2 linked regions of the Bombyx mori genome follow. The protein of the gene in region 1 purifies or fractionates together with the protein of each later gene. This does not show direct contact. Links are inferred from orthologs where the notes say so. Each region holds a gene or a part of one and is shown on either strand. Other genes may lie near its edges.

The links.
Region 2: the proteins of FACT complex subunit spt16 (region 1) and DNA topoisomerase I, mitochondrial fractionate together in Homo sapiens (co-fractionation; 3 studies listed by BioGRID and IntAct, with this or other methods). This does not show direct contact. The link is inferred for Bombyx mori from reciprocal best matches to the Homo sapiens genes SUPT16H and TOP1.

The regions. Positions count from the first base shown.
Region 1 is NC_085116.1:13,778,208-13,781,709, reverse strand, and holds the end of FACT complex subunit spt16, read right to left. Parts: intron 2,838-3,502; coding exon 2,690-2,837; intron 2,330-2,689; coding exon 2,206-2,329; intron 1,895-2,205; coding exon 1,606-1,894; intron 1,225-1,605; coding exon 1,051-1,224; intron 853-1,050; coding exon 846-852; 3' UTR 556-845; downstream 1-555. Other genes in the region: protoheme IX farnesyltransferase, mitochondrial, read left to right, coding at 22-260. UniProt on the Homo sapiens protein: Component of the FACT complex, a general chromatin factor that acts to reorganize nucleosomes. The FACT complex is involved in multiple processes that require DNA as a template such as mRNA elongation, DNA replication and DNA repair.
Region 2 is NC_085110.1:12,999,024-13,003,557, forward strand, and holds the start of DNA topoisomerase I, mitochondrial, read right to left. Parts: upstream 3,044-4,534; 5' UTR 2,804-3,043; coding exon 2,762-2,803; intron 2,456-2,761; coding exon 2,295-2,455; intron 2,214-2,294; coding exon 1,797-2,213; intron 1,623-1,796; coding exon 1,532-1,622; intron 1,336-1,531; coding exon 1,174-1,335; intron 992-1,173; coding exon 898-991; intron 828-897; coding exon 653-827; intron 482-652; exon of another isoform or gene 235-481; coding exon of another isoform or gene 92-234; intron 12-91; coding exon 1-11. UniProt on the Homo sapiens protein: Releases the supercoiling and torsional tension of DNA introduced during the DNA replication and transcription by transiently cleaving and rejoining one strand of the DNA duplex.

The sequences.
Region 1 (3,502 bases):
AATATCTAAAATCTGTTACAGCATGGCAATTCTACCAAAAATCAGACAGCGCAAGTTCGCGGAAGCTATTCAGATTTTCTCTACTTCACCTACCAGCATTAATGTTGCTAATGCTAGTAAATAAGAAGTACTGGAGTTCGAGTGACACTCAAGAGCAGACCGACACCAAAATCCAGGACGTAGGCATATTAGACAAGAGAATTACAGTACTACCTCGAGGACCGGTCGTTGTGGCCCAAGGAAACGACAAACAGTGCTAATTATTTTACGTTATATGTAGGTAGATTTTATTTGCTGTACATAATGTACAAATGTGATCAATGTAGAAGATTGTAAGTTATCTATTACGAGATTTGAATTGTAACCTCAAAACAAGGTTTCGGAATTTCATTTAAATAACACAAAATTCCTGTATGTGTTACTGCTGTACATATATTTACTAGTAACTACTAACTGAATATTTCCTAATCTTAATTTTGGGGTTATAATACTTTTTTGTTATTTTATTTTTAATCGTGTTATTTATGATTTAAAAATAAATAAAATACACACAGATTATGAATTCTTATTTTTCTTATTCACTTTGCTTTTTTCGGGAAAAACAATATCGTGTGCTGTGTAAGTGGGGCACAGGTTCTTTATTTATTTAAATTTACTTAACTATTATCGTGTCACATTCTCAACTGAAAATTTATTAACAACATACATACAAAACACTCAGACCTGTTTTTTAACATTAGACGGACAAATTATGAGACGACACAATCACATACGTAATTATTATTAACAAGCCGCTGTGGCGAATGAAACCCGTTTGAATCCTTTGTATCAAAACGTTTGCTTTTTTATTTTCTGAAACAAGAATATTTTTTTTAATTATTAATGACATATTAAATAACGTGGTAGGGACATGCATTTCTGTTTTATAGAAAATTATTAGATAAATATTTCAGCTTTTGACTTTTTATCAAATAAGTCTGTTGTTTATTACTTTCAATTTATGCACGCAACCAAATTTATATAAAATATATCTGTTTTTAGAATACTCACTTCGCTTTCTTTGCGCTGTTGCCGTGTTCTCTGCTGTCATCGCGTGACCGTTTGTGTGATTTATGGTCACTAGAATGTTTCTTGTCTTTGTCTTTACTAGAGGACTTATGGTCACTCTTGTGGTGTCGATCATGGTGGGATGATTTGTGGTGCTTATCCCGGTTCTTGGAAGGGCTGAAATTAGGGCAATTATAAATATTATAATCTCTTCTCTTCTCTGTCGTTTCCTCATTGCTGAGGGTCGTGACCACCTTGGTCCAGTTTTTGCACCAGCTTCCTCCAATGCTACCTGCATTCGGCCTGCTTAATGGCCGAATAATTATTATAATAATCATTGAAAAATATTATACTTTTCACTTAATCTTAGTTACATTATGTTACTATCATTTTAGGGCTATCCTGTCAGTCAATACTGTACACTAAAATTTTCTCAACTTATTGCAACCCAGGCTGAGTTTCTGGGATTTACAGATCTGAATATTTTTCAGTGATGCTTTCATACGTAGTTTTCCTTTCTCATAATTATTTTTTCTAATTTAAACAATTCAGACATACCTGCTACTGTTCTTTGAAGGGCTTTTATGACTGGAGCTCTTATGGTTTGAGCTCGAACTTTTATGATTGGAACTAGAGCTTTTGTGGTTTGAACTAGAACTTTTATGATTAGACTTGTCATGTTTGCTTTTCTTGGCGGCTCCCTCATCAGAGTCGTACGAGCGTTGTTGGTTTCGTCCTTTACGTTTCCGGTCGAAGTCATCTCGATCGAAGTTGCGGTCTTTTTTATCCTCTTCGGCAGCTTCCCGCTCTAAATCTGACCAGTCTTTACCGGATTCTTCGTCTTCCTCTGCGAATCAAGTAATTAATATGTAACATTCGTACTTGTGGTAATGTCTAAAGCCAGTAAACCAACCAGTAAACCAGTAAATGTAAACGAATAAACTATTCGAACAAATAAACGAATAATTATTAATAGCACACTTATGATTTGCCAGAGATTATTAATAGAAACCATAAATATAACAAATTAAACAGCCTTTTTATTGACTTCGAAAATAAGATCATGGTAATCTCAATTTAGTCAAAGATATTGGTAATGTATGAATAACTGGCATCTAGCCGATTTTTTTTAATTTATTGACAATTAGTTATTCTCACCTTCACTATCACCCGAAGCGTCAGATTCATCAGACGCCTCAGAATCATAGTCAGACCCTTCAGATTCATCAGACTCAGCGTCCGTAGGCTCGTACGCTTCATCTTCATCTTCACTATCTTCCTCCTAAAATACAATTAGTTTTATCAGATTTGTTGTTTTGAATGGATCGAAACAATTCTGTCATTATCTACGCGAAATAATCTCATAGAAAATTAATTTCTAAAATTATATTACCTATATCTACTTTTAAGCTTCAAATAACTTTTCTTTAAAGTCCTTTGGGTTATATGTTAAATTATGTTTTGTTGTCCAATATCAGAAGTTATATATACTATGATTAAAAAAAAGTTTCTTAGATATTCACAAAAAGTGTGTATATTGTTACGTAAAATAATTTAAATTTTCTTAAATTTTTTAAATACTATTTTAAATAAATGAACAGAAAATCGTTTATAACGTTTTCTACTTTTCTGATATACAAACCTCTTGTTCATTTTCACCATCAGATTCTGGATCCAAAAATGACCAGCCACCATTTTCGAAGAAGCCCTCAATGTCATCTGTTATAGTTTTCATAACTTTGGTCCAGTTCAACGATTGTATACCCTCCGAGTACCGGATATCACAAGAACTGAAATATAGAAAAAACATTTCTTTTTCTATACATTCTCCTTAAAAATATTCATGACAGACTGCAACACGACCATGCTCTCCTGTGAATATTGCTAATTGTAACATCAATTTCTTGAATCGAAGTGGCCACTGCGTTGATCATACTATATAATAGGCTATTTACTACCATGATAATATATTTGATAAGCTATCGATTGCATTTTGAAGTTTATCAAAATCCTTCCAGTAGGTTTAGCATGAATGAGTAATACATATCCATCCTCACAACCTTTCCCATTTATAATATCTGTGTATACCTGTTTAAAACTTGACAATGAATTAGAAATAGTTGTTTACTTAACCAAACACATCATCTGTAAGCTATATTGTGGATTAGTTATCTATTCTTCACAGATTTTTCTTCTATCACAAATCTATTTCATTCTAAACTATATGTAACATATTATGTATGTATGTAATATATTTATTCATAAAAAGTTACCCATTCAAAACATGCCCCGCAAAACTGCTTACGCAGTTTGACTGCAGGTAACTCGCTTTATACAAACATAGCGTATAAACCATTCAACTAGCTTATACTATAATAACACAATTAATTTACGTAAATGGTTAATTACACTTCATATCGCGTCGAAACCCGTGCTCAGCAGCAGTGGAATTAAA
Region 2 (4,534 bases), on another chromosome or scaffold:
CTTCTTCCCACCTGTATTAAACATTAAAATATAAAGTGCACGCTAAAAATATAAAAAACTGACTGTTAATGGAAAGTCATTTAAAACCAACTTGCTTCTTGGAAATCGTCGCTTGTGTCTGGTAAAAACAGAACTTAATGATACTTTACGTAAAAATGGACTGTTATTCCACACAATAACACTCACAACTTTAAACATAATCCATAAAACCAATATAACCTCAAAAAAGAACATTCACAATTACATATCGAACTAAAAATGATTTGACGAATTTTATCCAGCTTAATTTGATCACTTATGTTTCGAATTATTTAAAATGTTTGAGGGGTAGCCTCTATCAACGTCAAATGCTATCAAGATGTTATGTGACAAATTATTTCTGACAATGCTTGAATTAGGTTGGATATGTCACGCCATCTATTGGTAGAAATTAGATATGAAGTGTCACTAAAGCAGTTACTTCACAGAGTTTAAGATTAAATATTTAATGTTAAAAAAGTTCTACTGAGCAATCTGAAGTCACAACAAATTAAAGTTTGCCTTGTGATATTATTGGTTTTAAAAGTAGACAAAACATTGGATAATTTGGCAATGTCAGACTATAAATAATCGTTTACAATATTTTAATGAGCAAAAAATAGCCTTTAATTACCATTTCCAGACTTGTTCTGTTTCTGTGTCTTGTTTTTTCTTCCGTTTATTGGGACTGATACCATCATCTATGGGCTCAGATTTCACCTTAACTGATTTAGTTTTTTCAGAACTCTTCTTTTTCTTTTTAGGTTTTTCATCTTCTTCATAATCATCATAATCTTCATAAGTCTCTTCTGTAAACATTTCCAAAAGGTTCAAAAAGCTGTTTATAATTAATTTCTAGAATAATGTTAAGACTTTTACCTTTTTTTACTTTTTTCTTAGATTTCTTTCTTTGTAGTAATGGAATGTCTTCTTCACCATCACTAACATGGCGTTTTTTAGCTTTTCGTGCAGTCTATAAAATAATATATTCATTTTATTAGATAACTATATATTTAGTAAAAATAAGAACTGTTACTGTATGATAAAAATAGGAAATAAGGACAAGGATGAGTAAAAAAATTAATATTATAATAAATTTGGGTATTAAGTTGGTAGTTATTAAGTATAAATGGATTATTCTTGAATTCAACTTACTAGTGGTATATCCTCTTCACTTTCATCATCTGGAGGCAGTTCAGAAAGTGGCTCATCTTTAAATTGGGACATAGAGTAGTCACAAGATGAGACAGTTGTGTTAGCTCCAGCATATCCTTCATCACTATCATCTTGTTCACGTTTTAAGACTGGTTGATCCACCTTAACAATAAAAAACTAAATTATTATTTTGGCCCTCATGGACAATGGCATCCAAATAAATAGACAACTACCAAAAAAACTCATTATGAGAATGGCAGTACTATAGGGTTTAGTGCATATTTGGAGAATGATTTTATATTTATGCTTTTCAGACAATGTTGGAATGCAATAAGAAAATAATAGCCCACATACACACCTCCATAGGTTCATCTTTTATGACATTCTGAGACTCAGATTTTATCTTTTCATTTCTTTCACTTGAACTTTTCTCCTTGTTCTTGCTGGAGCTGAAACCAAAATTGCAAAATACATTCAATTTGTAGTTTAAGATGCAGGTGCATTCATTACAAAAATTTTTAACCAAATGTTACTGACTTTTGACAACTATTGATGGTGTCAAATATATATGACTGGATACTGTCAGTTTTAAATTCTAATTAAAAATACTTGTCTATATATACCTGTTTTTATCTTTTGAACTGGAGTGCTTATCTTTGTCCCTATGGTGTTTATCCTTGTCACTCCTGTGTCGATCTTTATCTTTTTCATCTTTACTTTTAGATTTATGATCTTTATCCTTTGATGAGCTTTTGTGTTCTTTATCTCTGGATGATGATGATGATGATGTCTTTTTGCTATCTGAACTGCTTTTATTCTTGTCTTTTTCATCACGCCTATCTTTGTCACTTTTTGATTTTTCTCTATGTTTGTCCTTGTCACTGCGGTGTTTATCTTTGTCACTACGTTCTTTATCTCTGCTACTGTGATCTTTATCACTTCTGTCTCTCTTTTCACTGTTGTGTTCTTTATCTTTGCTGGAAGATTTATGGGAGCTGCTGTGCTCTTTACTGCTTGAGTGTTTGTCTTTGTCCTTGTCTCTTTAAATACAATACTTATAAAACTTACAATATTTCATAGTGAAAACGTTAATTTCATACAGAATATTCTAGAATGCTTACCTGCTAGAGCTGCTGTGCTTGGACGAGCCCTTGTGATCGCGATCTTTGTCGCGATGCTTGTCTTTGCTAGAAGATTTGTGGCTTGATTTGTGTTTGTCAGAGCTACTGTAGCCGTTATGCATGCCGTTCACGTGTTCATTTTTATTTCCATTTACCTTTCCCTGTGAAAGAGATCGAAATTTCTCTTAATTTTTAACATAACATTAACCCCAAATGTATATTTGTTCATATTTTAGAAAAGACGCTATGTGGCAGTTTGTGTTTTTTTTTCACATTTATTCTTGGCGTGTCAAACGACGCTACGTTCTTTCTGCTTGAACATTATAGTTGACGCCATATTGGGACTTAGAAAATTTTGCTTCGTGTTGTAATTTTCATCAGTAAGGACACGAAACCTTAAGCAATAGAAGCTTATTGAATACGTAGAACGATTAATATCATAATAACAAGTCTAAATAATAACTTACAGATTCACAATCATTATCGCTGGCCGGGTTTTCGACACTCATTTTGCCTACGTATCACAACGTTTGTTCGAATAAGATTACATGAGGCCGGCCGAAAACGAGCGCAAAATCTAAGTGTCCAGAAGTGACGAATGCGCATGCGTCGTTGCTCATACGATAAAAGGGAACTTCACTCCGCTTGGTTCAATGTTCTGGTTTGTACGAACTTCAAGTTGACAGTTCAGCTTTTTAAAAAACTGAAATGGCAATGGAATGTATGCCATCTAAGCCTTCATCTAAGATTCAATCTAAAGTATTTATACTTGGATACTTAGTCATTATACGAAATTCGTGTAACTTCCAGACGCAGAATATGTGTAATAATAGTATAGTAGGTTCTGCGTATGTAGAGAAACTATAATTACGGTACCGTGGGTAATGCTCACTTTAAAATTACTACGTCTATTTGTACATGCTTAAATGTCAATAATTGAAGATCTGCATGCATGCTATCGTAACTTTAAACCAATTCATAACTTTATAGAAGATTTCTGTAAACTTCACAAACCAAGATTGTCAATAAATATAAGATATAAGATTGTCGATAATTATTTATTGGATTGGAAGGAATTGGAGGAGGCCTATGCCAAAAGGCACACCGAACTTAGGGACCTCTTGTAACCCTATGTTTAGGAATAAAAAGGCTATTATTATTATTATTATTAATTATTTATTAACAATCTTGATTTTATGTAAACTATCAGCTTCTCGACACTAGTATTTTCTTCGGCTATCGCAAGTTTTCTCTTCTTGTTCGTTGTTCGCAAAGAACTTTGTATACAAAAAAAGACTCGTCGACTGCTCAGCTACGAATTCTCAAGTTCTTTGGGCACATCTCCAGAAAGGAGGACACCGTGGAGATACTTTTCGTAAATGGCCTTGTAGAAGGCAGAATACCTCGATGTCTACCCCCACGGGCTGCATTGTCGTCATCACCAGCACTACGAAAGCCACCGCTACGACAGCTACGACTACTCTGCCAAGAGTAGCCTAGCTGTGTTCGGGAGAATTTGTCAACACTAGCCCTACCAAGTGCAGTGCTTTGCAGAATCTACCACTCGATCAGAATCGCGACCCAATGAGAAGATCCGGCAAGAAACTCAGTGGACTGTTTCTATGGGTTAGTTCGCTCGTCGAACTCTTCGTCGTAACGACAGTAACCGGTGCTTGAGGGACCTAAAAGCACCGAGAGTGGATCCGGGGATCCGACAAGACACGTTTCGGGCTACGATGACTTTGCGTTGTCCTATCGCTTGGGTCGGATATACATATTTTGTATATCTAACTAGCGGCGGTCACGATAAGAGGGTTATCGTGTAGCGCTTTCTTGAGTCGTAGATATCATTAAACTACTTTTACGATTTAATTTCTATTATCATTTTATTCTTAACATTGTCTGTTTGACTTTTTTTACTATTTTTTTTTGTGGTAATTAGACTTATAATAAAATTGAATCTATTGGTGCTTACTGTACAGACTAGCTTGTGCAGTTTACCTATATGGAGCAATGTAATCATGCAATGTAATGCAAAAACATAGGGGCAATTCTCATTAATTATTTTTGTGCAGGAAGGATTACTGGTGGCCTTGAAGCCTTTTCAGTTTCACCACGACAAGTGGGCGAGTAAGCCAGAAGGGTTGGGATTTGCTAACAGCTACCTGAACGTCTCCAAAGGAGACCTAAAAACTCATGAGTAGCTGCTCCGCGATTGAATCTGCTACTGGATTGGAATC